Astyanax mexicanus: one gene and its partners. The protein of the gene in region 1 purifies or fractionates together with the protein of each later gene. This does not show direct contact. Links are inferred from orthologs where the notes say so. Each region holds a gene or a part of one and is shown on either strand. Other genes may lie near its edges. The genes, in order: slc39a4, abcb10, agpat4 and golm1.

Region 1 (7,625 bases):
GATTGGTCAGAACTGAACTGAAAATATAGCAAGAAGCCTATGTGTTTTGTGTTTCAAACAAGCAGTGAACGCAGCACGTAAACAGCATGGAGCAGCAGAGACTTATCATCAGCAGTTTAGCTCAAATAAAAGAAATATATTTGATAGCTGGGGTCAGATCGAGATCAGATCATGTTCTCACCACATGTTGCCTTTTAATTGCCTTTTTCATCTCCACCTGTCACGTTCTTTTCCTGTTTATGTGCTTTCGTGCACATGGCTCTATGTTCTCCTTGTCTCCACCCCTGTATTCAGTGCTCCCACCTGTGTTCATTAGTAACTCCACCCTCTCGTTACCTGTACCCAGGTGTTTCCTGTTTCATGTCTACTTCTGTATATATATATATATATAGCCCCTTTTGTTTTGTTGCCCCTGTGTTCCTTTGTCAGTTCTTGTACGGTTTCACCTCAGGTAGGTTGCTTGCTTCATGTTTGTTTACTTGGAGCGTACACATAGTAAAAAATAAGATCCAAACTGATTGGGACACAACCTCTCTTAAATGTGGTAGATCTTCTGAGTTGTTTCCAATATGCAGTCCAAGGAAAGACAACCATGGTCCAAGTGAACCAACAACTATATGGACTTACAGGGTCTACTGCTATCATCTTAGAGCCAGATACCACCAAAGGACATCTTTAAATGTCTGTAGAGTTCATGATTTGATAGTTTGGAACTGTATTAGTAGCACAAAGAGGCATTAAACAATATCTTAACATCAAAGAACTGTTTTTAATTCTAAATTATTTGGAAAAAATGGAAAATATGACATTTATGATTCTTTTTTTTCTGTTGCATATGGAACCTTTAAAGAAGATTATCTCTTATCTTAGATGAAATTAGACTCTGGGCTTCATGGAGCCATTATCTGCTTTATCAGCTTTATCTGAGCTTTACATTATGCTGTGGAAACAAATTGCTATCAAGAGGTCTGTTACTATAGAACACACACATAGAAATTGGTATGAATTCTTTAGTGGACGTGTAGCTTTTGTGTACATTCTTAATAAAAAAAAGACCTAAATGGTTTTAGGTTTCAACATGAGTTGGTTTTAAAACCTTTCAGTTATAGATGAAACTTATTAAAACATTTTTTGCAGCAAGGTCCCTATAGTTACCAGTCATTAAAATATTATTTCTAAAAATTAAATGTTGTTGATGAAACAGCTCCCAATAACCTTTAGTCTAACTTGGTTTTAAGAGTGAGCCGTTGCTCTTTGGCTCTTTGTTCTGTTGTAAAATGGTTATGTAAAAGTAATATGTTGGATTTACTGGATTTTTTTTTAAACATAAAATCTACATAATTCTAAAATATTCAAAGGTATATATATAAAAAAGAAAGAAATAAAAGCTTTTACAAAACATGAGCTAGCATTAGCCCCTAGCCCTCCTCATTCCACATTATTACCTTTCTTAAATAAGCCATTGTTACTAAAAGACAATGGCAGATTGTTCCTCAAAGGACCCTTTCTAAGGCAAAGTTAGTGAGAAGGTTTTAATGCTAAGGTTAAAAAAGCAGGAAAAGCTCAAAAGAAAAGAGTAACAGTGCTTTTTTTCACTTAGACTATTTACATGTAGTTAAAAAGGATAAAAAAGGGCAGAAAACAAAAGCTGTACAAAATGAGTACATTATATTACAAATCACACACAAAAAAATAAAGGATAAATCAGGAAGAATCGAAAAATAAGCCATGTTGGGGTTCTTCCCAGACAATTCTTGGATTGACCTCCAGCATTCCTATTAATAAAATAATTCTGTTATATATATTTTTTTACTTTTATTTAACTGCCTGTTTTTTTTTTGTTATTTGTACAAATTCTTTTTTAACCATTTTAAAGCTAAGTTAGCATGTTTACTGACATGTAAAAAATTAATGTCACTAGAATAATAGTGAATAAAATAATTCTGTAGTAGATTTAGATTTTCTTTTGACTTTTATTAACTGCTTATTTTTGTGCTTTATCAAAAAAAGTTTTAATCTTTTTAGATTTTAATGTTAAGTTAAAACATTAGTGTCCCTAGAATAACAGCGAATAAAATAATTCTGTAGTAGATTTAGATTTTTTTTGTTTTATTTAACTACCTATTTTTGTGCTGTTTGTCTAAATTATTATTATTATTTGTTTTTTCGTTTTAGATTTTAAGGCTAAGTTAGCACGTTTTTCCGACGTGTAAAAAAAAAATAGTTTTTTAAAATTTTAAAACTTTTATTTAACTGCCTAATTTTGTGTTGTTTGTCCAAATTCTTTTTTGTTTGTTTGTTTTTAACGCCAAGTTAGCATGTTTTTTTCCGACGAGCTTTATGCCTATTTTTTATTACAAGCTATTTACTTTAGTTTAACAGCAGAACACTGACAATTAATATCCTTCCTATATTTAAAAAAATATATAAACCGTCTATAAAACGTCTGAAAAGCGCTAAAGAGAAGCTTTGGACTGAAAGAAGACGCTCTGGTCTATATACCCCTCCACGCTTTGCTCTCGGCGGTGTAGCACACGGACCGGCGGCGGCAGGGGTGGTGCTGGACCTCGACCCCGCGGAAAGTCAGGCTCGTGCTGTGCAAAAAAACTCGTACCTTTCCACACGACACACCGGCCCACTGCACACGTTTCTCCAGGAGGCTGAAAAAGGAGCGGACGGCGCTGTCACTCAGCTCATCTTCTCCAGGGGACAGCAGGTGGACCACCTTCCCGTACACGTGCTGCCTGGCGTCGCGCGCCCCGGTACCGCGCGCGTGGCAGATCAGAAACAGCAGCAAAACCGGCCTCCAGCTTTCCATTCTGTTTCCACACGGTTTAAATGTGTGTTAAACGTTGGGAAAACGTGTCTAAAAACTGGTGGTGGTGCGCAGTCCTCGTGAGAGTGCCACCGTTTACAGGTGCTTTCCAAGAGGGAAAAGAGTCTACCTGCACAGGTAGATACTCCTCTTACAGCCCGGTCCACTCGATCCTGATTGGTCCCCTGATCGACTACGTCTCATCACACAGCGGGAGTTTGTTCCCTAGGCTTGGGCCGGATGGGGGGCCTGTCCCAGCTCACACCTGTCCCGGTGACTTCTCTGAGCTCGTGCATGTGGTTTTCCAAACGAATATATATAATATTGAAGCATAAAATTGAATACATTGAATTTTATTTGGGATTAGCCCTATAGATGTGGGTAATAAACCATAAACCTCATTTTATTAAAGATGGCCACTCAAGGAGATGTGAACAGGCCTTACAAGCTTTTTTATAAAGCGTTAAACCCCATATTAAACCCAACAAAATGAAATATATGATGATCTATTATCTAAAAAATAATATACTGGATCTACTTGAAAAAAAAAAAAAACGTATGTAACAATTTGCATAGATCTTTTATTAGATACACATAATCCCCAGTTAGTAAAAACGTGTAGTAAAAGCTACAAAATGTTTTTTGTTGGACTAACTTAACGTTTTAAAGTTGTTTCACTTAATATTAATCCCATTGTTTTGTTTGATAAACACAACTAAATTCCAACATGTTCCATCAACATAATTTCAGCATAATTTCAAAATTTTTAAATACTACTAATAATATTTTTAACTTTTTTATTTTATTTTTGATATTGACCTTTTTGTTCACAAACCATCCCTAAACAGTAAAATAAGCATGCTAAAAGTGTGATTAAAAAATAAGTTAATTTAGTGAAAAATAACCTTTTTTAATTAGACTCTTTGGCTCTAATGCTGTTTTTTTTTTGTCTTTATTGTTTAGACAGTGTGATAGATCTTATATACTTTGGCCAATATGACATTACCAATAAAACATTATCTATAATAAACATATTATAACAGGAACATATTATATACTGTACAACTTGGTCCCTTCATAAGTATCTCTTTTTATCTTTTTCATCCTTTTTTTCATCCTCAAGTTTATATCAATACACCCCATCAACATGGCTTAACCTCTGACCTTCCTTCCACTCTTCCCTGTTGCACGCATGAGAACGCTGTCCTTCACTGAGCTGATCCAAGATCAGCTAAGCGGACCAAGTTCTGAGCAGCAAAACTGGCCTCATATCAGCATAAAGGGCAATGCCCCCCCACCCCGCCCCCACCTTCCGCGGCTGAATCAGCTGTTACCAGGCTACAGCAGCAGAGTTTCTCCACAAGTGAGGCGGTCAGCGTTTTCTGGAAAGTCAGCGCCTGCACACTTTAGGCAGCAGCTACAGGACACAGGTGAATACGTGACCTATTTCTTTTTTCTCTGGCAAAAACACAGGAGCGCTTGAAGCTGGGAGGAGAAAAGGCCTTTAAAAAGTGAGCGTGAAAAACCTACAGCGGCCGAATCCCTGCAGAAAGTTCCTCAGCTCTAAATCCTGCTGTGTCATCAGCCTACTTGTTTTATAACCTGCTCAAACTTGGAGGTAACATCTCAGTTACTTCAATGTTATAATCAGGATTTACTTTATTAGAAAACCTGTATGTCATATGATTAGAAGATCGCTGGTTCGAATCCTGGTCATGCAGCTTGCCATCATCAGCTGCCGGAGCCCTGAGAGCGCACAATTGGTCTTGCTCTCTCTGGGTGGGTACAATAGATGGCGCTCTTTCCCCTCGTCACTCCTAGGGTGATGTCGATCAGCACAAGGCTGCGTCTGTGAGCTTTGCTTTCCTCCGAATCCTCCATTGATTTCCAAATAAAATGTACAATTTTCTGATGATCAGTGATGGTTTGGAGAGACATGTCTGTCATCTGCTGGTGTAGATCCGCTGTGTTTTATTATCAAGTCTAAAGTCAGTTCAGTTTTGTTTTCCCACAAAATCTTACAGCACTTCATGCTTCCCTCTGCTACTGTCAACTTTTATAGAGATGCAGATTTCATTTTCCAGCAGAAATGGCTGAAATAACAAAAAAGATGCAGAGCTTTCAGACCTCAGATAATGCAAAGAAAACAAGTTCATATTCATAAAGTTTTAAGAGTTCAGAAATCAATATTTGGTGGAATAACCCTGGTTTTTAATTACAGTTTTTTTTTATGCATCTTGGCATCATGTTCTCCTCCACTAGTCTTACACACTGCTTTTGGATAACTTTATGCCTTTACTCCATCATCCATCTTTCTCTTGGTTATTATATTCCAGAGGTTTTCAATTTCATAAAATAAAAGAAAAATCATAATTTTAAGTGGTCTCTTATTTTTGTCCAGAGCTGTATATGGGTGTTTTTTATTGGTTCACCAAATATCCAGCGTCTATAAGAGTCTCAAAAGGCACTACTGAGGTAGTCATTTTGTTAATATATGCCAAATGTTCATCATTAAACCACATAAACCTGGATAAGGGGTTATGTGAACCCTGCCCTGACCAGGCTGTTAGCAGTAAAGGTGCCCACCTGTTTTCACTTCCTCGTGTGAAGCTCTCGCACCTTTGTGCTGCCCCTGTGTGCTGTTGGCTACGTTCTGTTCCATTCAATTACTCAGGGGTAGTTATCACTTTACTGTAGTTGCTTTTAAACTCAGTGACACTGGATTATTGCACTGAATCCTGATGTCTGCCGTTTCATGACCTGTGGGAATATTCCACAGCTGAGGAAAGTTGATATCAAATTTACCTGCCGCAGCAAAAACAGGTAAATAATAACCATCATGTTAGACTGGAGAATGGAGTGTATGTTCATAATCTGCCCACAAGAGGGGGGCCTCAGTCCTCCTAATGCTGTTTTGCACACATGAGCCAGCATTTGTTCTCACAGGTTGGACCTCAGAAAGGATCTTTATGTCTTTGATAAGAGCCAAAAACACAGATTGTGTGCTTTTTTAAGAAGACAAGATACCAAAGATCTCCTTAATTAGAAAAGTAACTTTATTACAGCGATTCAGTTCAAAATGTGAAACTCATATTTTATATATAGATGTATTACACACAGAGTGATCTATTTTAAGTGCTTATTTCTTTTATCGTATGATAATTATGGCTTACAGCCAATGAAAACCCAAGAATCTGTGTCTCAGAAAATTTGAATATTATATAAGACCAATTGGTAACACCAGCAGATCACATGTCTCTCCAAACCATCACTGATTGGTGGAAACTTCACACTAGACCTCAAGCAGTTTGGACTGTGTTTCTCTCCACTCTTCCTCCAGACTCTGCTCCCTTGATTTACTTTAAATGAGATATAAAATTTACTGATGATCAGTGATGGTTTGGAGAGACATGTGATCTGCTGGTGTTGATCCACTATGTTTTATTATCAAGTCTAAAGTCAGTGCAGTTTGGTTTTGTTTGTCATCCGCAGCCTTGTGCTGATCGACATCATCCTCGGAGTGATGAGGGGAAAGAGCACCATCTACTGTACCCACCCGTAGAGAGAGCAAGGCCAACTGTGCTCTCTCGGGGCTCTGGCAGCTCTCGGCTAGCTGCATGGACCGTGCAGGACCGCGCAGTGCCCAACTTCTTCTTTCTTGGAGCTTTTTTTTTTGGTAAATTTGTGTGAAAAACAACTTCTGACACTATAATCTCTGAATAAGAAGGCTATCAAGATATAACAGGCCTGGAAATCGATGGTTTACTGCAGTTTTGCTAATAACAAATTACAGATTTTTTAACAGAAAGATTTCTTGGAGCTTTTTTATTGGTCAATTTGTCTGAAAAACAACATCTGATAGTGAAATCTTACATCTAACTTTACTAACTTGAGCATCTCTTAAAGTAATCACTGAATGAAAAGGCTATCAAGGTATAACAGGTCTGGAAATTGATGGGTTACTGTAGCTTTGCTGAGGGGTTTAGGTGGAGGTCCCTTACTGTGAGCTGTTAGTCACACTTATTCACCAACACTGTAATAACATGCGACTTACTGCTGTGACAAACCCAACCTGGACGAGAGAGAGAGAGAGAGAGAGAGAGAGTGCATTAAAGCCGGTTAATAAGCTCCCCTCATCGACGGCCCACTCTCTTCCTGGTCAATAACGTAAACGCCGCTGGCCCTCGAGGCTAGATACGGAGCAACGGAAGCAGACAAACGGCCATTCATCACGCGGCTTTATTATAAGCTAAAAAGATCCATTACATGCTAAACATAGGCAGCATCTGCAGCATTTCTCCTGAAGCATCTACTCATCCTCCAGCTTACAGAGAGAGAGAAAGAGAGAGAGAAAGAGAGCGAGAGAGAGAGAGAAAGTAAACCAGAGGAGAAAATGAGCTCCTATAGCAGCATTGATCTCAACAAGGCTTCTGCTGAGGGCAGTGGAAAAAAAACAAAACAAAAAAAAAACAACCCTACCTAAAGATCCACCGACCACACAGAGCGTCTGAGCAATCTGATTGGCTCCTGTGGCTATTCTTCTCTGGACAGAAAGAAAGGACTGACCATCCAGCCAGCAGGCGGGCGTGTGGATCGGCTATTGTTATGCTAAATATACATTATTGCAAGACTCACAGTCTTTTTCAGGGCCTTGCGTTTGGATCGATGCTTTAACTCTAGTGGTGGGAGTCCATACAGAGACCCCCTTTCAGCTGGGGAATGCTTTTAGTGTAATAGGGACGTTTTACTTTTTACATCAGATTTACATTTCTGCACTTAAAACACGTTTTATTGTAATTTAATGGCATGT
Region 2 (7,940 bases), on another chromosome or scaffold:
CCCAGGAAAAATGGAGCAGACATAGTGACAGCACTGGAGATGGCAAGGAAACCCACAGCAGCTGCCAGAAAAAAAAAAGAAAAAAAGAACAAAACTTGAAACATTACCACCACAAGAACTAGCACAACTAGTAAACATGCAACACATTTTGACATAACTAAAATGTTTACATGTAGTTTTGTTGACATTCAGTGTTTCCAAATGTCCCTAATTACAAAAAGATTACATATTCTGGACTGAACAGTTTGGTGTGCAGTCTTATGGCAAATATGAAATGATTACAGGGCATATAAATGCTCCCCTGCCACCCTATTTAAAAGGCTTTTAGAGGCTACTTTTGGGTTGGTGTACCTCTTGGTGAGAGATTGTTGAATGCTAGGCATGCCGCAACAATGCACTTTAAGTCATTATGTCTAGTTTACAAACTTTGAAAAGGGTTTCATTACTGGACTGATTTTAACAAAAAATCCAGGTTCTGTTTGGGATCAAATGACAGTCATGGAAAGGCTTTGTGATGAGAGTTTCAATCCTGCCTTTGCTGTGGAGTGACACACTGTCCCAACTGCTGGTGTGGTTCACAATCTGTCACCCCAGGGAGTGATATAAGGGACACTAACAACTCAGCGATATGTGCTGAACAATGTGTTGCTTCTTATGGCAGGGCTTCTAACTGATATTTTGTGATGTATTGACAAACGAGCATTTATTGGACAAAGTGGGATGGTGGCTTCTGCAACCTATGAGTCTGCAGAAGCTACTGATGCAGCTGTTACATCTGTAGACAACTGGGTTGCAGAATTCCACTTGGAACATACTGTATATGCCCAGGCTAGAGGCAGACCAGCAGAATTAGAGCCCCTGTAAAGATCTTTTTGTTGTTGTTTTTTTGTTGTTGTCAATGAGTGCATATCAATCTACTTAGCATATAACCTTGGCAACTTTGCCAATTAGAGTGGAGTCCATTTACTGTTCATATAGCAGTTTTACAGCTTAAGGAAAAATGAACACCGTATTTTTTTAAGTGGATGGATAAACATAGCACAAAAAGTAAGGAAATTTGGTAAATCTGTTTGGTAGATTATTTCTTTGTTGTAACAACGTTTCTTGGAAATTAATTTTATAATGAAGCCTGTTAAGTTTCCTTTTTAACGGTTTCAAATTTGTAAGGAACCTGCATTCTTGTTACGAGCAGGAGAGCTGAGTATGTGTGTTACGCCCATGAATAATTTGTCTTTTCTGCAATTGCAAAACAGCTTATTTTGATGTTGCTATTGACCATTGCATTCGACTTCTGGTGCCCCCAGGTGTGGTATGGCACCTGTGAGCATGGGCCCAGTGATCAGTAGGTTTTCTGAATAGGCCTGTGTGATAGGGCATATTCAAGCTGATGTTCCACAAAACCAGTTTGCGCCATTATTTGTAGTGAGCCATGGTACCAGTATCTCCAAAATGAAGACCAAGTGCTATATGAAAATTGATGTTAGAGACAGGCCTCAAAAAAAGGGTGTCTCAAGAAGACCCCAAGATAATACATAATCAAACATTTAACAAGTCAATGGCAGAATGAGCTGTTTGGCAATGGCAGTGAGGATTTGACTAACTTTTTATGGGCACAACCCACATACTCAGCTTTTCTGCTCATCCCACAAATATATGTTCCTTACAAACAAGCCATCGCTTAAAAGAGACCTTTTTTAAGATTTTCAATCTTATAATATTTATTTCCAAGAAACATTGTTACAGAAAATAAATTATCTATCAAACACAAATTTTCATACGTTATGTGCATTGTTTAGTACAATTTCAAACTGTAGGAACACTTAAAAGGATGAGGTAAAAAAAAAACTGAAAAGACACAATGAACTGAGACTCTACCTGTCAGTCTCCATCGCTCTGGATAAGCAAGCTGCAACAGTTTTTTGAGGTCATCCGAGGGTATTCCCACTGGTTTGACTCTAGTGTTGACTTGACTTTGCTCGTTTGCCACATGCCCTGCTTGTTTAGAGTCTGCCGAGGTGCTGTAGAAAGCGGCAGCCCGCATGGAGTGCGGCCAAGCGGCGCGGGAGATAAAGCCCAGTCCCGGGCGGATGCAGGCATGGTGGGACAGGGCTTTCCTCACGTACAAGGGAAGAAAACAGACCCCATAGTGTTCACTTTCCTCCCCACACGCCTGCCTTCTCCACGACCTTCCCAAAGTCCGACTGGGCAACAGGTACTCCCTTTGAGGACGGTAGCAGGAAATGCTCCACTTTTGCAGTAGTTTCCCAGCAGTTAGTCTTGGCGTTAATAACATTATGAGCAGTTAATGCAGTTAAAGGAAATAAAGAGGCCACCTGCATTTGCAGACTGAGATTGATAGCTAGGTTATCTAGCTTTGATACATTTTAATTAAACTAGACATGACTTGCTTTAACATCATAAATGCTATCAAATAAATAAAAAAAAGATTTAAACTAAACAAATCACTTTCTATATCTATAGAAATATATCTAACATTACAAAACGTATACGTCTAAACACATCATTATTTATATTTAATATTTAGCTAGTTAACTACCCAAGCTGATCCAGCTGATCACATCCAGCTCTACACAAGCACTCCGGCTCCTGATCTCTTCAGAAACACCAAGCCCACTGTGAGCAAAGGTATTGTTCGAGTCCGACAGTTACTAAACCGCATTATCTGTCAGTGACAGCTCCTCACACAGCCCAGCTTCTCCTTCTCCTTATCTCCTCTCCACCCAGACCAGTCACCGGCAGCGCCCCACTGTCACCACAACCTGACACAGCCGCCCCAGGTTAGCTAGGTTAGGTCATCTCTCCCTCTTGTATCCATTCAAAACACCGGGACGAGGGACGCGGGGCTTCTGGGAGCACCACGTGGAGCAGCACATCCACAGCAGCGTCACGCGCTCAGAAGAGTCCGCTGAGGTGGATGACCCCAGGTGTCCTCCTGCACCGTGAAGCACAGAAACTAACACAAACTAAACTCCACTCCAGCCCAATGGCCGCTCTCAGTACAGTAATATAACACTCTTTCAGACGCGTCCAATCACACGCGATCCATCGATTCCACCGGCAGCACGTATTCACTGATCTACAAATAATTATCTAGAGGGATTTATGCTGTCACATCTTCTGTAGATCGCCGGTATTCCGTCGCGACATGCTACTTATCGATACGTGCTTCCTAAAGGCACTGCGCATGCGCTGAACCACGGTTATTAATTATTTCTCGTGTTTTATAATAAATATAATAATAATAAATATATTTTTCTTGACAGACAGAACACCTGGTCCTAAACGTTTCGCCAGGTTTTGGCACATTTATCTGTTAAACGTGTTGCACTTTATTTATTTTATGTTTCTAAAAAAATATTAAACTTGAATTGAATAATTCCATAACATTTATGTTGATACAGACTGTAGACAGTTGGATGCTACTACATAATGATTTATTCATAGCTATATGTTGAGAGCTGAAACATCAGCATTTGTATTTTTTAAAAATCATTTTCACCTCTCTTCTCTTTCTGAACCTTTAAGTCTTAAAGTCTTAAAAAACATCTAATGCTTTAATGCCTCCTTCTAAGCTTTGAAAGCGTTTTTAAATATTCAGTAATAAACTATTGAAGTTTGTAATTCCCTTTCAATAGCTGATCACTTTTGCAGTGATTTAATCGTTTTTATGGCTAGTGAGACAAGATTGAAATTGATATAGAATATATACAAGTGTGTAAATGTTTAAGATAGCAAAATAACCAGTAGAAAATATTAGCCAAACCGAATCGGATCGCTGGCTAATAGTCTATCGATTCGTACAGTCTAGGCGGAAGTGCTGGGGCAGAGTTACACGGGTAGAGGACTTTAGCGGGGACCACGTGTGTGATGTGAATGTAAGTTTATGGTGTTTTGAAGGAAGCAAACCGATTTAAACTCATTTTAACAACATTTATTGATGATTGAAGAAACATAGGCATGCTGTCAATGAAAACTCACGTTACTGCTGCTGTTTTGGAGCTGTAAACAACTAATTGTAGAATTTCTACAGTAGAACTGTTACCTTTATCTAACTTCTAGTTAACTAAATGGATTAATGGTATATGTTACTGTGACTAAACTACAGTATGTGTGTGTGTGTGTGTGTGTGTGTGTGTGTGTGTGTGTGTGCAACCTTGATTGTGATTTAGTTTCCTTTATATCATAATCTTAGGTGTTTTGACTACATGCTATTGACACATTGTATTATCACACTGTATGACTGCTGTAGTGTGATCAGTTTTACCAAACTTTCTTAGTGGTAAGATGATTATACCTGGTATTGTGACGTTTACTGTAATAATTAATCCACCCCTCGTTAGTAGCACCTTTTGGCAGAAATGCAGGAAACAGCTGCAATTAGTCAGGTAGATCAATAAAGACTGTCTCATGTAGAAATACTGTTTTTATATTATTTATTTAGGTTGTGTTCTCTTAAATCTGCATTCTCTTGAAATGTTTAATAACGAACACCAGGCCAGCAACTATTAGTCGATATAATCAACAATGTTAAATATGAATATTTGTCGACTAACCATTATAATAATACCATTTATAATAATAGCATTTATAACAGCACTGCACTACACAAAGTGGCGGGGCACTAAAACGCAATGGCAAAGGGGGAGTTCACCTGCACTCAACTCAGTCTATCTCCAAAAGTGCTTAAACCCAAAAGATTACATATTTACTCACAAAATATCAGTATGATCCAAAATTAAACATATGGGTATTTAAAAAGCATTTGAAAACCATGTTCCATGCAACATATACTATGCTAGTAAAAAGATGGTTAACCAACTTAATCTTTAATAACCATCTTTTTAATCTTTTTAGACATTTTTACCATCAAAGATCAACCCAAACTATCTAAAACCAGCTGCTAGCCAAAGCTGGTATTGAACTGTGCTTTTCAAAAGGGAACATGTGCTATACTGTTTGTGCAGTTGTCTTTAATTTGCACTCTAAATAATTATTTCCTTATGCCCTTTTTTTCAGCTCCATCTTTTTTTGGACATGGCTACCATCTACACTGGTATCTATCAAAAGCTGAAAAGCTCTCAGACACCTTGGGCAGATAAACTGAAGCTTGCTCGATTTGCATTGGTATCAAGGCAATGCCTTCTTCCAAACAAGGAACAGGTAATAATCACCTTATAAAGTAATTGACATTTACAAAGGTTATAATAATAAACTGATGTGTGTGCCTATTTAGTTAATTGTGAAATTATTTATATGTTCCTAGTAATGTAGGCAGGAATGTACTGTTATTTTGCCAAAAATATTCCATGTCCTGAATGCAGAACATGTATTACACAGAGTTTTACTTTGCAAACCTCACACCTTACACCTTATAAACCTTAATAACTTTATCTTTATCTAACAGGTTTTGCTTGACTGGACTACTAATGCCCTTTCTGCCTATTACAACAAGAAAGCAGAAGTTCCATTTAAAGAAGTGGAAGGCTTATGGAGCTACCTGGACGAATTTCTTCACAGCCAGAGGATTAAACATGTCTTGAGCAAAGGAAAGACTATTACTGTGAACCCAGCAGTGTGTCAGGTAGCAAAAAGCTCAGCACAGATCTTATGGTTTTTTTTTTTTTTTTTTTTAATGTTGTGTTGGATAATTTCCCACAGCATGACTTATATGCTTTAGTTAACGGTAATAATAATTTATTATAAAATAAATGAATAAATATCAGCTTATAAAACATTAAACAGAAACTGTATTTAAAATCCACCTACTGACATTTGTTTGTAAGTCATCAGATTTAAGCTCAGTAAAGTTTTTATTTCTTTTTTTTGTTTGTTTTACACAGATAATCATTGAAAGGATTCAAGAAGCCAGCTCAGGAACACTGTCTGTTAGCCTGTCCACTGTTTTGAGCTGCTGTCAGGGGATTGTGAGCTCTCCTGTCCTCTCTGTGAGCTACACTGCCAGATGCGATGTTTTGGTGCAACTACTGGTTAAAGTCTGTGGTTTGGCCTGCTATCAGCTCAGCCAGCAGGAGGAATGTTCTGAGCCTCTTTCACTAAATGTGTTTGAGGTTCTGTTCCTTGTGCTCAATTCCTACCTGACTGTACAAAAACAGCAAGGCAACTCCAACAGAGTTTTTACTCAGGTCACAGAACACCTTTTGCAGCCGCTTTGCCTGCTTAGGCATCTACTGAGCAGTAGGACGTGGACTGAGAGGGATGACCCGAGAATCAGGCAGAATCTGAACAAAGAGATCCGGAGTAAAGTGGACATGATTCTTCAGTCAGCTCTCTTCTTCGATGACCGCCTACCATGTTATAAAAAAGAAGTTTTGCCACCAGAACGAGAATCGAGCTCCAAAAAGGGATCTACTGGCAATATCTTACTCTGCCCTGTTGCTACAATTCTGTCAAAACTTGTTCACGGACATGGAGTTGAGAAAGAGGCTTTGTTGTATGCTGTCAGGTGCAATTCTCTCCCGTTACTGTTTAAGTTTGCTTTAGATTCATTTGGAAAAGATGACGACAACAAGCTAGTTTGCTTTCATATTATGACAAAGTTTATCCTGGCGTTAGAGTTTACAGACGACCTGCAAATCAAGGAGACATTTAATCCAGAACATTGGAATATTGTTCTACTTTCTCTGGAGAACATGTTGAACTCCTGCCTGGCTGGAGACATCTATAATGTAGCCGCAGACAGAATTCACCACGGCGAGGTGCAGCTAACGTTCTACAGGAAAGTAGCGCAACTTTTGTTTAGCAATGCACAAACAGACAAACCCTCCTGGTACCGATGCCTAAAAACCCTGCTTGCACTGAACCACTTAATCCTGGAGCCTGATCTTGATGAGCTTGTCTCCTCAGCTTGGGTGGATGCAGAGAACACTGAGTTACGTGTGAAAAAAGCTCGTGAAACACTTGTTTCTGAGGTCATACGGACCTACGCGAAGCTACGACAGCTTCCAAGACTCACAGAGGAAGTGCTAATCGTGATCACCCGTCCGGCTGCTGATGAACTGAGACCAGAGCTGTTAACTGAAGCTGTGCAGAAAACATTGAGTCAATGTCTCTTGGACAGCCCTGCCAGCCAGAACCTAGAAATCTGCAGACGCATTCTGGAGAAGATACAAAGTGAGCTTACTTATGTGAAGGAAATGAGAAAGGAGTCTGCCTTGAAACTGTTATCTCTGAGTGTTCTTCTTCATACGGTCGTCTTTAGTCTGAAGACAGTTGATGATAGCACCCCAGTCCCTCTGGTCAGGCAGACCCAGAGTATGATGGAGCAGATGTTTAGGTTGGTTGGATCATTGTTGGAGTGTCTTGAGGGGCTTGTTAGTACAGATACCCTCTGGATAGACAAGATTCAAGAGGTTAGTCTTCTTCTTACTTACATATGGCATGAGGCTGACTCCCTCTTTCAGAATCACTGCAGCAAATACACATCACCAGCTGGCACAAGTACAGTGCGCCCTGTGTCTGATACAGTAGAGAAAGTTCTGGCTCTGAAAGTCAGTAGTAGCCCACTGAGTAGGCTTCTTCAGAAGCTTCTCGCTGTCCATAGGATAAAGAAACATTTGCTTGTTTCTCCTTTGCCTGTGTTAAACACAGACAATAAAAGACACACAATTCTTTGTGAAAGTGCTCAGTTTGTAGTAAACAGGCAAGACTCTTTAATAAACCTAAGTACCGACCAAACGTGGGACCTCCAGCTTTGCAATGTGAATAACGACACATATTCTGTGGCCTGCTGGTTCCTTGTAACCACCAATCTGCCGTTAATTGCTCCATACCTCTCAAAGGAAGATGCATGTCACATAGCAGACGCTATGTTGAACTCCTTGCTTCATAGCGACCTTGGAAGCAATTCAGAAAATGATGACATGTCAGTCTTTCTAATTTCAAAGCAACTACTCGAGAGC
Region 3 (6,838 bases), on another chromosome or scaffold:
TGAATAAACAGCATCATGAAGACCAAGGAACTCACCAGACAGGTCAGATAGGTTATAAAAACATATCCCAAACTAAGCATCCCAAAGATCACTGATCACAGTATTCTACAACTGTAAACCTACCAAAATATGAAGGTCCAAGAAATCTGACAAATCGGGATCTCCCCCAATCAGATCTCAGTGTTTAGGATCTGGACTGCTCTGGGAGGAAGGTTGTCCTGCGGTGTGGACAGCAAAGTCTGCGTCCTGAGGGAAGATGTTCAAACTCAGGAAACTGGACATTAAAGAGGTCCAGCTCCTAAATGCTGAGAACTGATTGGTTCTGATGATAAATAATGTGTATCTGTGAATCCTGTAGGAGAATATGATGAGTTCCAGGTTTTGAAGATTTAAAAACCCATAAAACACCTAAAACATATCTTCTCCCGGTGCTGTGGTATCTGTATAGGGTAGCGGTGGTATCTGTATGAGGTGCTGTGGTATCTGTATGGGATGCTGTGGTCTCTGCGTGGGTTGCTGTGGTGCAAAAGAGTTCTCTACAGGTAAAATTTAGCTTCTTTTATAAATGAAGCCTACTGGAAGCACAGGCAGCATCTCATAGGGAGGTGGGTGGCTTTTAGTCTTAAACTGTAAAAATATATATACTCAGGTATACTCAGCTGATCTAGGTAGTCTAGTCAGTAAGATTAGATAGTTTAATGCAACAGATGAAAAACAAAATTATCATGAAAACCACTTAAAAACATTAAACACTGTGAATCTGTGAATTCACAGAGCCGCTAAGTAGCACATATCTATTAGTATAACTCAACAGAACACTCCGGCTGGGCTAAGCTGAGCTGAGCTAAATTAAACTAAGCTAAGATAAACTAAGCTAAGATAAACTATGCTAAGCTAAGCTCTGCTAGGCTAATGCTAAGCTAAACTATGCTAAACTTAGCTGTGCTATGCTATGCTAAACTGCAAAGATTCAAGTATAGCTGAATATAGTCAAATAGTTTCTACAGACTTCTAAATCTACTCACCTCCACCTGAGATGCTGCATGTGCTTCCTGTGACCTCTGTTTAAAAGAGCAGATAAATTACAGTGCTGCCCCCCTGTGGCCAAACTCAGTATAGCTCAGTGCCACGGCTTGATGGTGACCGGCAGCTTGTGGCTACAATTGTCCATGTGAAAACACTCAACACAAACACACACACAATGCAGGAGAGCCCACACACCCACACCTAAACCCATACATCACCCAGTGCAAGACAATGAAAAAAAATTTATATGGATTTAAGATGATTTAACTTGCTAAGATTTTAGTTTTCTGCAGTGCGGGGGTTTATTTCTGTATTGTTGAGTAAAAATAACTCTAAATACACTTTTAAACATGTATTTTAGCTTCTAGAGCATTCTTTCCTTTAGTTTAACTCATGAAGTTCCTAATATTAACTCATACTGATCATCCAGAGAACATCACTACAGCACAGTGTATAAGAATGTAGGAGTGCTTTAGGGTTAGTTCTGGGGCTAAAACTAACTCTGATCAGATTTCTAGAGCAAAATGTTACAATAAAAGTTAGGAAATTGTTGTGTCATTTGTGTTACATCCTGATTTTAACCTTATACCATTTACAGTGATTACAGTTCTCTTTATCACAATCAATAAGAAATAATCATGAATGAGCTGCTCACTGAATTTACCAGATTCAGTTTTAAAACTGATTAATATTAAGAAATTAGTCTGATGGGCTCTTAAAGTAAAATAATGAGATAGTATCTTAAAATAATAAATTAGTAGCTAAAAATACTGACTTACTCTCTCAAAATAATGACTTACTATTTCAAAATAATGGGTTAGTATCTCAAAATCTTAAATTAGTACCTCAAAATAATGACTTACTTTCTCAAAGTAAAAAAAACTATAAAAATTACTATTTCAAAATAATGAATTAAAATAAAGAGATAGTATCTAAAAGTAATGACTTACTATTTCAAATTAATGACTTACTATCTCATTATTTTCAGATAGTAAGTTATTATTTTGAGATGGCAAAATAATGATAGTATCTCAAAATAATGTATTTGTATCTCAAATAATGAAATGGTATTTCAAAATAATTAATTACTATCTGCAAATAATGAGATAGCATTTTAACATAATTTATTACTATTAAAAAAATTTATTATTATCTCAAAATAATGAGATCAGCAATTATCTGCAGTTTACTTATCAGTAAGATATATATATATATATATATGTATATATATGTATATATATATACATATATATATATATATATACATATATGTATATATATATACATATATGTATATATATATATATATACATATATGTATATATATATATATATATATATATATATATATATATATATATATATATATATATACATATGTATATATATATACATATATATTATTTTGAAATATTAAGTCATTATTTTGTACCTTAAATATAACAGAGGACAGTAAATGTGTCCGGCTGAACTAAAGGCTGTAGTTCGGGTAAATCGCCAGCAGAGGTCGCAAAGTTACTACAGTAAGACAAGTGAAGTGTTTCTGAATCGGAGGACATGCTACCTACTTAGGGAGGATTCTGAGGCGGGAACTAGGGAACCCGGGCAAATCTGGACTGGAGATTAGTTATCTGGCGTTCATTTTAGTGGACAAAACATTATAAAATATAAGGTTAAAACACTTTTTTTTCTGACACAGAGACTCAATCACTACACAAAATCCACTAATGAGTGAGCTAGTGTAGGCAGCAAGTTACCAAGGTAGCATGTCCTGCGTATTAGACACACACTGATCCTGCAGATGCTGATATAAACACTGCCTCTCTGAATAATGTTATAATGTAAAATATTTTATTTAATATTTAATATATATTGCATATTAAAATTTATTTTAAATTTAATGTTTAGAGGGCGTGAGGGTACAGGGTGTAGGGTACAGGAGGAATATTGAGACACACCCTTAAAACAGCTCGTGCCTCTCATCTGTCTTCAGTGTTGCCAGTTTGAGGAATTTCACGTGACATTTCTAAGACTGAATGTACATTCATTTCAACATTTTGATTGTTCTGGGCTCTGAATCTACACTTACAAGGCTTTGAGGATAAAAGTGCTCCTCATAAATAAAAATGTTTATTTTATTATAGTAATAATAATAATTATTATGAGTATTACTTAAATGTCCCTTTCTAAACTGTACAAACACAGTGCAAGCTATAAGAATAAAATACAAGTTATATTTAATGTATTGAGGTGTTGTTTAAATATTCTTATTTCGTTACTGATATCACATTAAATGTTTTTTGTTTGCAGTTAAAACATTTAAATCTGCTTTATTTTTAAATAACTGATCAGTACAAATTTAAGATATCAGTAGTTTATTTTTTGGTCATTTGTTATTGTATAATACTGTTCGTACTAATCGTGTCAGACTTATTGGTGAAATTTTTGCTTTTGATACAATATGGCACACCTCTAGCTTTATATTGTATACACACTGAATAAAAAAAACATGATCAAGATTCAGATTTATTCTAAAATTATAATATATATATTCATGTATATTAACTAAACACATAAAAAACATAAGTAAAAAACTACTTTCAAACTGAATTTAGATATTACCTGGAGGTGTATTTATTTACTTGTGTGTAAAGTGATGATGATGTAGTGTTAATAGGGAAAATCCCTAGTTTTTATTATGCTGAATTATTCGGCTGTTTTTGGCGGGTTTTGAATCATTTTTGTTCGGATTTTTGTAAATCACTGTAAGAATCTGGCAACCCTGCAACCCTGAATGGAAGGTTCAGGGCGTGGCCCCGCCTCCCCTCACTGTGCCATGCCTGAGTGTGAAACGCTGCTGTAGCGCCGGGAACAGTCCGATTACACCTTCCGATTATACCGATTATATCGGTTACAGAGTCCGATTATACCGATTACAGCGCGGGGCTGGAGGAGAGCGGTATCGGACTGCGGTTCTGAATCCGGATTCAGGAGATCAGCAGCTCCTCAGCACTGCTGTGTTTAAACCAGGTGAGTGTTCTAGTTGAACTCGGATGTTTCTAACTTACTGATTTAATGCGATTAAACCGAATTCAGCTTCTATTAACCCGCCTATAAATCCGATTATATACAGAACTGATCCTCCCATAACAATCATAATACTAACAACAAACTGATCTTCATACTGTTCTCTCTCTCTCCCTTTATCTCTCTCTACCTCTACCTCTTTTTATACCTCTTTCTCTCCATCTACATCGCTTTATACCTCTACCTTTTCTTTTTCCTCCCTCGCTTACTCTCTCTTGTATATCTTTAACTATCTATCTCTCCTACTATACGTCCCTATACCTCCCTTTCTGTCTTCATCTCTTTATGCTGCTACAATATATCGTTACTGTCCTATGAAAAACACTTTTCATGAAAAAAAAAAACTCCATTTTCGTCGATTTTAAGTTTACTACATAATTTGAACAGACAAACTGTCCCTTATACTGTGCCAAACTTTCTTGATGAAAGGGACCAATAGAAACTCTTCAAAATGACCTGAAATAAACTCTTTTTACATTGACTTCCATTGAAAGTTTACAAGGTTTTTTCTCTCTCCTGTAAAGTTGCTGTTTTGGAGATAAGAGTTTTTCATTGGACAGCGACGATATATTATGATATATTGTGATACTCTAAGTAGGACAATATATAATCAAAAAAAGGAATTTTACAAAATCTGAGTAAAAGAAAAGTTTACTTTTCATCCAATTGGAACATCTATCCACAACACAACATCTAGTTGGCGGGGTTTAAACAGACAACACTAAATGAACCACTTCTGACACCAATCTTTACATCTAAACTCACTCAAAACTAAATATCAAGATACTGCAATTTATCAATATTTTCTAAACATAAGACAATATGATGTTAAAACAATGAATACTGTGATACTTTAATCCTCTCTCACCGTGTGGTCAGTGTAGAGTTAGAGAAAGCTGCTGTAGGAGAAGTTTATCAGTGTAAATGTGCAGCATGTGTTTAACTGATCAGCAGTGGAACAGCACGTCATGTGTTCACCGCTCTCCCGAGGGAACAATAGACCCGTTTCTCATCCTACACTCAGATACTGAGACACTGAGACACTGAGTCAGTGTCCAAATCTGATTATTACAGGACCAGCACAATGCTAACACTGTACCCTGCTGCACTTTCCACCACTTTCTTAATTTTAACTCTGAAAAACTGCAGAACAGGGGAAGCATGAAGTGCTGTAAGATTTTGTGGGGGAAAAAAACTGCACTGACTTTAGACTTGATAATAAAACACAGTGGATCAACATCAGCAGATGACAGACATGACTCTCCAAACCATCACTGATCATCAGTAAATTTTATATTTCATTTGGAAATCAAGGGAGCAGAGTCTGGAGGAAGAGTGGAGAGACACACAGTCCAAACTGCTCGAGGTCTAGTGTGAAGTTTCCACCAATCAGTGATGGTTTGGAGAGACATGTCATCTGCTGGTGTTGATCCACTGTGTTTTATTATCAAGTCTAAATTCAGTGCAGTTTTGTTTTCCCACAAAATCTTGCAGCACTTCATGCTTCCCTCTGCTACTGACAACTTTTATGGAGATGCAGATTTCATTTTCCAGCAGGACTTGGCACACTGCTCACACTGCCAAAAGTACCAATAGGTCTTATATAATATTCAAATTTTCTGAGACACTGATTTTTGGGTTTTCATTGGCTGCAGGCATTAATTATTAACAATTTTACTGAGATAAAGTAACTTTTCAATGATATTCATACTTCTTGAGATGCAGTAGTATGGCTGTGCTTAGAATATCACAGTGTATTGTGCTATATTGAATAGTAAGTCGTGTATGGTGATACGCTGCTGTATTCTGATGTGTATCTGTGTATATGTCTCTCTCCTGCAGGGACTGTAGAGGCTAAAGAGGACAGTAAAGACTTTGTGGTGTTTGAAGATGGGTCTCCTCAGGCTGCTGAAGACTCAATTCCTGTGTCATCTTATTATCTGTTATGTGTTCTTGGTCAGCGGCATCATAATCAACTTCCTGCAGCTCTGCACGCTGCCACTGTGGGGCATCAACAAGCAGCTGGCACGCCGGGTCAACTGCAGACTGGCATACTGCATCTCCAGCCGTGAGTACCAAACCAATTTAGTTTCTGTGGGTCAGGATGTTCTGCTGTTCGTTTCTCCTCCACTAAACATTAAATATTAAGTGCAAACATCTGGACATTTAGGTGGCTCTTTTAAAATTTAGCTCCTTCAACCACAGACGCAGCTCCCTCTCTGTGGAAGGTAGTGGATGAAAGTTAAAGGGGCACTAAACTCCCTGATTTGATTTTAGCTGATTTTACCCTCAGCTCAAATTTGAAAACTGTAAAAAAAAAAAAAAAAAATAGGAGAAGTAGTTTGGGAGATAAACTGGGTGATGTATGGGTTTGGGGCGGGGCAGGAGAGAGAGCTGATTGGCTGAGCTGTAGCAGCAGCAGTGTGCCTCTGATAACGGTGAGAAATAGATGGTTGGACGTCAGCAGCGTATATAATTAACTGAAGGTTGTTTTTTTAAAGGTTAGGAAATTATTATAAAAATGTTACACAGGACTAGTATGTTTCATTACTTCTTTTATAAGAAAAATATCAGCTATTTATTAAAAAAAATAGGGTTTAGTGGCTCTTTAACTGAATCTCCTCAAGTTCTTGCCAATACACAGAGCTAATATTTGTCTTATTTCAGATTTTCAGATTTCAGCAGAGTGTCCCAATGTTTACCGTTCGCTATTTCCCCATCTCTC
Region 4 (7,810 bases), on another chromosome or scaffold:
AGGGAGTTCCAATAGTTCCTGAGTTATAGTTACAGTAGACACAGGAGTCACAAGCAGCAACACACACAGAAGAACTGTACTGAACCCACCAATCACTGTACACACACACACACACTGGAACTGAAATGTCTCTTTCCCTATCAGCAATATTTGCTTAATTCCAAAAACTATAAACTCTCTACCACAGTAACTGCTGTGATCATGTATGTTCTATATGTTACAGTATGTTACACATCTCTACACCTTATCCTCACTGAGCAGTTTAGCATTTATGTTGCATTTTCGTTAAACTCACTTCACTTTATATGTTTGCATATGGTATTGTTGTTCATGATAAATGTAGCAGATGCAGCATTAAGTTTAGGAAGGCGATAATGTTTTTCAAATGGGTCATTTAGGTGTTTTAAACCTAGATTTTGAATAGTTTTTTTTTAAGTTTACCTTTATTTTGTGACTGTAAAACTGCGCCAGTTCATCACAGGTGTATTTCACTTACTTTCAAAAGATGTACACCAAATGTATGAGTACTGCTTTCACCCTGTTGTGTAGAAATGCTTTTAACCTGCAGATGCACTGATGTATTGACATAAATTATCAAGTGCACAAGTCTCTACATTTATTTTTTTTAAATAAATTACATTTATTTTAATAGTTAAGGGTATTTTTCTTACTGCCTGTATAATTGTAGCTGGCGATGGATATTTAGAAAAAAAAAATTAAACAGGGAAAAAAAAGGACAAAAACTAAATAAATGGTTTCATAGGGCCCAATACACATAAACAGCAGACTTTACAGTGTCTAAAAATGGATTGGCACATTTTCCTCTTCAATCAACTGTTCCTGAGTACCATTAGTAAAGTGCACACATTTCAAAGTACGAAGCGCTAAAATGAGAAAGTGTTTTTTAATGATGCACTTTACATAAGACAATAATACCTGGCATATCGCCCGGCACTGTGATGATGTCAGTTTTTACTGTTAAATGCAGAACAGAGGAGATGGTGTAAGCATTTCCTGGAGCAGGACTCTACACGGAAGGCTCACCCACATGATTCAGTAGGGAGAGTAGGGCACTGCCTTAGATTACACTCTAGTTGACGTGTTCATTTTAATATGATAACATGAAAGCCCAGAGTAACCTGATTTCTGGTATGAGAGAGATATCAGCTTCAGTAGCAGTGAACGTAGCGGTGCAGTGAGTAAAAGTGCTTTTACTTCAGTTACTCAATTGAAAGTACCTGTTTACAATCCTGATTGAGCTCCCCAAAGACCTGCAGAGGATCATATCAGCTCACCCAGCAGGTATCAGCAGGGACATTTAAGACACTGCTATTCTTTGTTCTGCTTTATTTTGGGATACTTTACATTTAATTTATTTTCTACACTGTAGATTAATAAAAAAAAAAAAAAAGAACTCCAAGAACTCCTTCAAGACGCTGAGAAAACTATTCCAGGTGACTCTACCTCACAAAGCCACTAAAAAAGGGCGTGCAAACCTGTCATCAAAGATAATTATGGCTACTTAACATTTTCTTTACAGAATAATGCTGCATATGTTCCAGTATAGCTTTAAAATCATGAAAAGAAAGAAAACACATTAAATGAGAAAAGGTGTCTCCAAACTTTTAACTGGTACAGTACCTAAGGGTAAAATACTTTACATTTCTACTGATAAAACTCTTGCATCCACACTGTAATAAAAAAAACAGAAGAGTGAGTGCGTTTTTAGGCTTTTTCAGTCACATGACATCACAATTTAGTAGCTCTTTTATTTCCACTCACTGTTGTGTTAACGTGGATCTCCGTGGAAAGGTGTATTTTCGGTGAGATTACGGTACGGTTGAATTGATTTTTTTGCACCAGGAGTGACATAAAGTTATCCAAAAGCAGCGTGTAAGACTGGAGGAGGAGAACATGCCAAGATGTATGAAAACTGTGATTAAAAAACAGGGATATTCCACCAAATGTTGATTTCTGAACTCTTAAATCTTTATGAAAATGAACTTGTTTTCTTTGCATTATTTGAGGTCTGAAAGATCTGCATCTTTTTTGTTATTTCAGTCATTTCTCATTTTCTCAGTGACAACATTTTTTTTTTTTTTTGGAGAACTGTTATCTGTAGTTTACAGAATGAAAACAATGATAATTTTACTCAAACATATAGCTTACCTATAAATAACAAAATCAGAGAATCTGATTCAGAAACTGAAGTGTTCTCTTAAATCTTAGGTTAGCTGCAAATCCAGTCCCAGTTCTCCAAGCAAGAGAAACCAGAAGCAGTAGCGCTCTGTTGTGATGGACCACTGTTTTCCTCATAAGCTATATGTGAACCTGCAGAGTTCCTGGGTTGCTAAGATTTTATAAAAGTGTCAACAGCAGGTCTCTAGGTCATTAAATGATTAAATTTAGATAACGCTAGATAACGAGAGCTCTCCAGAGCACCACCAACAACAGTAGAACGGAGGCAGATTAATATGTTAGCTAGTTAGGTTAGCCAGCTAAGCTAACATTAACTCAGTTAGTTCCAGACAGGTTTTCAAGAAGTAACACGTCAACAACTCGCAGTTAGCGTCCTGTGCTAACGCTATTCCTGTAAGAAACGACAAGAAACCTGCCCTGAACGCTCAGCAAAGATACAAGAGGCGAAACCTTTCTGTTTAGTGCATCACAGAGAACTACAAAAGCCGTGTGGGGTAGTTTAACTTAGCCTGTTAGCTCTGTTAGCTAGGCTAAGTATCATTAACAGGAGTCCTGCAGCTAACTAATACAACACAGGGGCTACAGAGCCCGGCGGCTCTTCTCTCCGGTTTATGAAGGAAATACAGATTATTTCATCACAAATCTCTTCTCACCTCTCTACTGAACAGCGCAGTTACATCAGCTGAGACCCAGACGCGTGAACATCATCGATAATCCGCTTCTCTGACCGAGGATTTGTCTGCCAGCGCCAAGCTATACTAACCGAACTACATCCGTCAGAGCGCTGTTTGATTTGACTCAGCAGCAGCGGAGCATCAACAGCAATGCGACTCACTCGTTAACGAATCGGTTCAAAGTGAATCGAGTCTTTCCGTGAGATCTCCGCACTGTATTAGTCTTTAAATATTACAACATCTTAAAATACATACAATCACACAATGAAGTTTCACCGTGTAACCGGTGCTGAATGCTTGTAATTTATCTGCCTTTGTTAGTAAGCATCGGTTCTTTGAAATAATCAGTCAAACAGAGTCGAATCGAATCTCACTTTTTTCTGGAATACTTATGTATTACAGTGGCAGGTAGGGGTGTGCGCAATAATATCGACAACATTTTGAATATTGTGAATTATATTATACCCTGAAATATCGTACCATATCACCCACCCTTAATTATCACATCAGGGTACTACTTTTTTGCTGTTATCAGCAAAAGACAAATGCACAATGTTCTCAATTACAATTATACAGATGTCTGAAATCACCCGGAAGTCGCGGGAGTCTATTGCATATCAACAATGGCTCCCTGATGCCCTGGGATCAGATAAAATCTCCCAGAATATAGCAGGTACATGCAAGCCACACAGACTTTTTCCCCCAATCATGTGTGGGAAAGAAAGGGAGAGAGAGAAAGGCGCTTCCCTCCTGTGCATATTCGTGAACAGCATGCAAAACAGAGAGAGGGATCTGATTGGCCTGTTCTCTGCAAAGACTCTGTGAGTCAGCCAATCAGTTTTTAGCATGGGCAGGCGGTGTTTTTTTTCCTCCTGAACAGAGGCATTCAGGAGCATCATGGCTCCTATTAAAACTCATTCCACCTCTGACTACTCTAAAATCTGTCTGGTAAAAGTAAAAAAACAATTAAAGTCTTCCATCCATCCATCCATACATTCATCCATCCATCCATCCATCTATCTATCTACCCTGTTATGTTCTCATTTGGTGTGCGTGCAAGGTAGATTTATTTATTTATTTTTTTGGACAGGAGATCTCCTCAGACAGCCAGCGCCTGCCTGTTCTATATGGTGTCTACACAGCCCCAGAAGATCTTTCCAGCCACTCTTTTCCTCTGTTTCATCTTATCACAGACTTTAGGACACTTAAGGACTGTTTGAAACACAAGGACTGTTTGCTGTGTTCATGAAGGACACAGAGCTGAACAACACCATGAAAAGAACTTGTTGTTCAGACAGGCTGGAGCTGATCACGTCATTGGAACTGGACAACAAGCTGTTAACTGGACTCTGCTGACATAATCATATTGATAAATTCTGTTCAATCACATGTTATTTGCATAAATGTATAACTGCTTGGATAAAGTCTGAAGGGTTCTCTCTCTCCCTCGACTGGCTTTATTTTCTTTCTCTCTTTCTCTTAAATCTCTATCAAGATTTTATTACACTATGTGTTGACTCGTTGATGTACTTTTACTATTTTCTAATATATATTTAATAATTTTTGTTCCTTTTATATATATCTGTAATGCTGAAACAATGTTTCCAGTAAACTTTAATATATATTTTAAATTTTAAGCTCTGACTCATTGGTCATCTTTTCATGTTCTGGGATTTCTCACATCTGAGTTTTATCTAATTCATGCTGTGGTAAATTACTCTACAATGGAGATATTTGGAGTGCATTATTAGTATTATGACATTCTGGATCATTGACTTCTGTTACAAATTTGATAAAAATTATTGTATTTTTTAATATCTCAATTAGGGGTGTGCCATATCATACTGTATGCAATAATAACATTTAGTTTTCATTTTTTCTGTCATGTCACCAAGAGTATCGTTATCACGAAAAATTTAGGGCCATATCGCCCACTCCCAGTGGCAGATCTAGGATTTTTCTGAGTAAGGGGCTATCAAGGGCCACAATATTCATAGAGGAGGGGCCAAGTATTATTTCACCACGTTTAAACACTTGAATGTAAGTTTAAAAAGTTAACACAATAAAATCTATGAAGTTATTTTTGTGCCAAAAGTTTTAAACAAACAAATAAATCTGCAATCAATTTAAGGATTAAAAGGAATCTCTTCTTTGCTACTATTTTTTGCTACTATATGTATATATTTTCGATTGCAGATTTAATATTTTTGTGTACATTTTTTTCACAAAATTAACTCCTTGCAAAAAAATTAAATCTCCTTTCCAATTTTACATGCAATTTTACTGTGCATAGAGAAAATAAGTGACAGGACAGGGGCATTTCGAAGGGCCAATCAGATTTTAGCCGGGGCCATTGTCTGCCGCATTAGTATGTTTCCCCGCCCCTAGAACCTCCAGTGATGAATTTTTAATAAGTTCAGTACAAACTGCTTTTTAAATCATAAGACTAGTCCAGGTGAATGAACTTTAAATAACACTCTGATATTTAACACCTTTGAATTATAGAATTTAATATCACACATTTTAATGAGGGATGCATTAAAAAATAAGATACGAAAAAAAATTATACCAGATCACAGATAAGTTGTTTATGTAATAATAATAACGAATAAATAAATGAGTCTGAATGAAACGTATAATGATCTCTTTTTTTTTTTTTTTACTTCAAATGAAACTCTAAACTTCTTTACAGCATCCAAAATAAAAGCATGCTGTAACCTGCAATTAATAAATCTTGAAAAAATGGTAACATTTGCTATACAGGTATTTATCATACCTTACAGCCTTTACACTGACAGTACAAACAAACAGATACCTCATAATACCTTCTAATAGATGTTTTAAATCGTTCTTTGGAGAAATGTTCATTATTATTACATGAAACTTTAATCTGGTAACCTTATAATAATGTAAAATTCATTAAGACTCAATGCTGTTCGAACACTGGAATCATTTAAACAAACTGATCAAAAGATTCAGTTCAATAATTCACATTTGTTCAGGTGCAAAGGGTGAGCATGAGTCTCTGAACACCTGGGGCATGGTTTCTAAATTGCCATGCTCTCTGGAAAGATGGCGGAAGTATAAAGTAAATATGAAAGATGCCTCATATTCTAACTAATACTTAGGCTACAAGGTCCTATTGAAGGATACAGTATGTCTTATATTCAGGGGCGCAGATGGAAATTTTGAACTGGGGGGGACCAAGCTGTAAAATTATATATATATATATATATATATATATATATATATATATATATATATATATATATATATATATATATATATATATATATATATATATACGTATATATATACGTATATATATATATATATGTACGTGTATATATATACATACATATATATATATACGTATATATATATATATACGTATATATATATACATACATATATATATATATACGTGTATATATATATACACGTATATATATATATATGTATGTATATATATACACGTACATATATATATATATATACGTATATATATATATATATATATATATATACGTATATATATATATATATATATATGCTGCAATAAACTTTAGAATATTGTTATTGTTATATGTTATGTTTTTTGTTTCTTCATTGCTACAGCCTAGGCAAGACCAGGAAGACAATGTTAAACGCAGTGTTTAACGCAGCTCCGCCCTCCGGCTCAACTTTATTCAAATAAATCCGGCCGCCGCACTGTGTCCAGTCCAGCCAATCAGGGAAAAGCAGGCTGCGTCCAGCCAATCAGGGAAAAGCAGGCTGCGTCCAGCCAATGAGGGAAGAGCAGGCTGCGTCTTCACACACACACACACAAGCCTCTTACACACACACACACAGACAGAACAGGCGCCTTTCAACCACAGAAGAGAAGCTGAAAGCGGCAGAATATGGATTTATAGAGCTATAGGTTACAGTGAGGTTGGTAAAAAAATAAAAATATTAAACTTATGACTGTCTACTTCTGTTGCTTCGTTTTAATTCAAAAACGAGCAAGGAGATCCAGCGCAGCGGATTGCGTTGAAAAAAGTGCTAGTGGACACGTACCGTAAGGAGCTGGTAACTGCCTCTGTCTGTAGTCTACAGGCAGTTACCAGCTCCTTAGAACCCCGGACTTGAGAAGGTGCGTTAAATTTACATTGGAACTGGAACACGGAGCTCCGAACAATGTAACCTCTGAACTGAACGCTTCCTAGTTTAAAAACGAGGGCATTGTGGAACACAGAATTCCACAAACGTACAGTTAATTAAATTAAAACCCCAACGTTTATGTTTGTAGATGATAGATTTCGGATGAGGTCACTATAAATCTGGGGGGGACATGTCCCCCCCCCCGTCCCCAGTGCCATCTGCGCCCATGCTTATATTTAAGTAAATGAAAGAGCAGGGAAAAGACGACAAAGTCTTAATGTAAAAAGATTTATTCAAAATACAAAGTCTTTTGTGGAGGAAAAGATGTATTAAAGTTTAGACAGAGACAAAGGAACAGACAAATATTTATTCAGCTGGGTCAAATCCTGGTCACCTTCCTTTCAGAATCTGTTCTGGGCTTTCTCCTCCTTCAGAAAACAAAGACATTCAAACATGCCGGATTATATTCTGACCAAAGGTGTGTAAAGACAGAAAGTAAAATGACAGAAAAATTTAATGACCCCAAAAGTGCTCAAATAGCCCAGACTGTATAACCTAACCATCACACAAAAATCTTTGTAATACCCAAAAGGTAACGTTTCTTGTAGAAAGAAAGAACATATGGAAGGCAATGTAAAATTATTTTGTTTCAAATCATTTTGAAGCATTTCTAATTGTCTATTCGGCATGATTCTTCATCTTGAAACAATGTACTAGTGCATGTCGAAAATTTTAAATATCACTGAAAAGTTATTTTATTTCAGTAATTCAGTTAAAACTGTAAAACTCATATT

Evidence for each region.
Region 2: the proteins of slc39a4 (region 1) and abcb10 purify together in Homo sapiens (affinity purification with mass spectrometry; 3 studies listed by BioGRID and IntAct, counting the BioPlex papers as one, with this or other methods). This does not show direct contact. The link is inferred for Astyanax mexicanus from reciprocal best matches to the Homo sapiens genes SLC39A4 and ABCB10.
Region 3: the proteins of slc39a4 (region 1) and agpat4 purify together in Homo sapiens (affinity purification with mass spectrometry; 3 studies listed by BioGRID and IntAct, with this or other methods). This does not show direct contact. The link is inferred for Astyanax mexicanus from reciprocal best matches to the Homo sapiens genes SLC39A4 and AGPAT4.
Region 4: the proteins of slc39a4 (region 1) and golm1 purify together in Homo sapiens (affinity purification with mass spectrometry; 3 studies listed by BioGRID and IntAct, counting the BioPlex papers as one, with this or other methods). This does not show direct contact. The link is inferred for Astyanax mexicanus from reciprocal best matches to the Homo sapiens genes SLC39A4 and GOLM1.

Annotation. Positions count from the first base shown.
Region 1 is NC_064410.1:3,405,428-3,413,052, forward strand, and holds the start of slc39a4 (zinc transporter ZIP4), read right to left. Parts: upstream 3,011-7,625; 5' UTR 2,819-3,010; coding exon 2,615-2,818; intron 1-2,614. UniProt on the Homo sapiens protein: Selective transporter that mediates the uptake of Zn(2+). Plays an essential role for dietary zinc uptake from small intestine. The Zn(2+) uniporter activity is regulated by zinc availability.
Region 2 is NC_064414.1:38,773,835-38,781,774, forward strand, and holds the start of abcb10 (ATP-binding cassette sub-family B member 10, mitochondrial), read right to left. Parts: upstream 3,022-7,940; 5' UTR 2,294-3,021; coding exon 1,876-2,293; intron 62-1,875; coding exon 1-61. Other genes in the region: urb2 (unhealthy ribosome biogenesis protein 2 homolog), read left to right, coding at 5,056-5,181, 5,426-5,602, 5,862-7,940.
Region 3 is NC_064432.1:23,983,845-23,990,682, forward strand, and holds the start of agpat4 (1-acyl-sn-glycerol-3-phosphate acyltransferase delta), read left to right. Parts: upstream 1-3,833; 5' UTR 3,834-4,056; intron 4,057-5,955; 5' UTR 5,956-6,003; coding exon 6,004-6,181; intron 6,182-6,838. UniProt on the Homo sapiens protein: Converts 1-acyl-sn-glycerol-3-phosphate (lysophosphatidic acid or LPA) into 1,2-diacyl-sn-glycerol-3-phosphate (phosphatidic acid or PA) by incorporating an acyl moiety at the sn-2 position of the glycerol backbone.
Region 4 is NC_064419.1:21,470,925-21,478,734, forward strand, and holds the start of golm1 (Golgi membrane protein 1), read right to left. Parts: upstream 3,006-7,810; 5' UTR 2,853-3,005; intron 1-2,852. Other genes in the region: ATP-dependent RNA helicase DDX51, read right to left, coding at 7,418-7,444.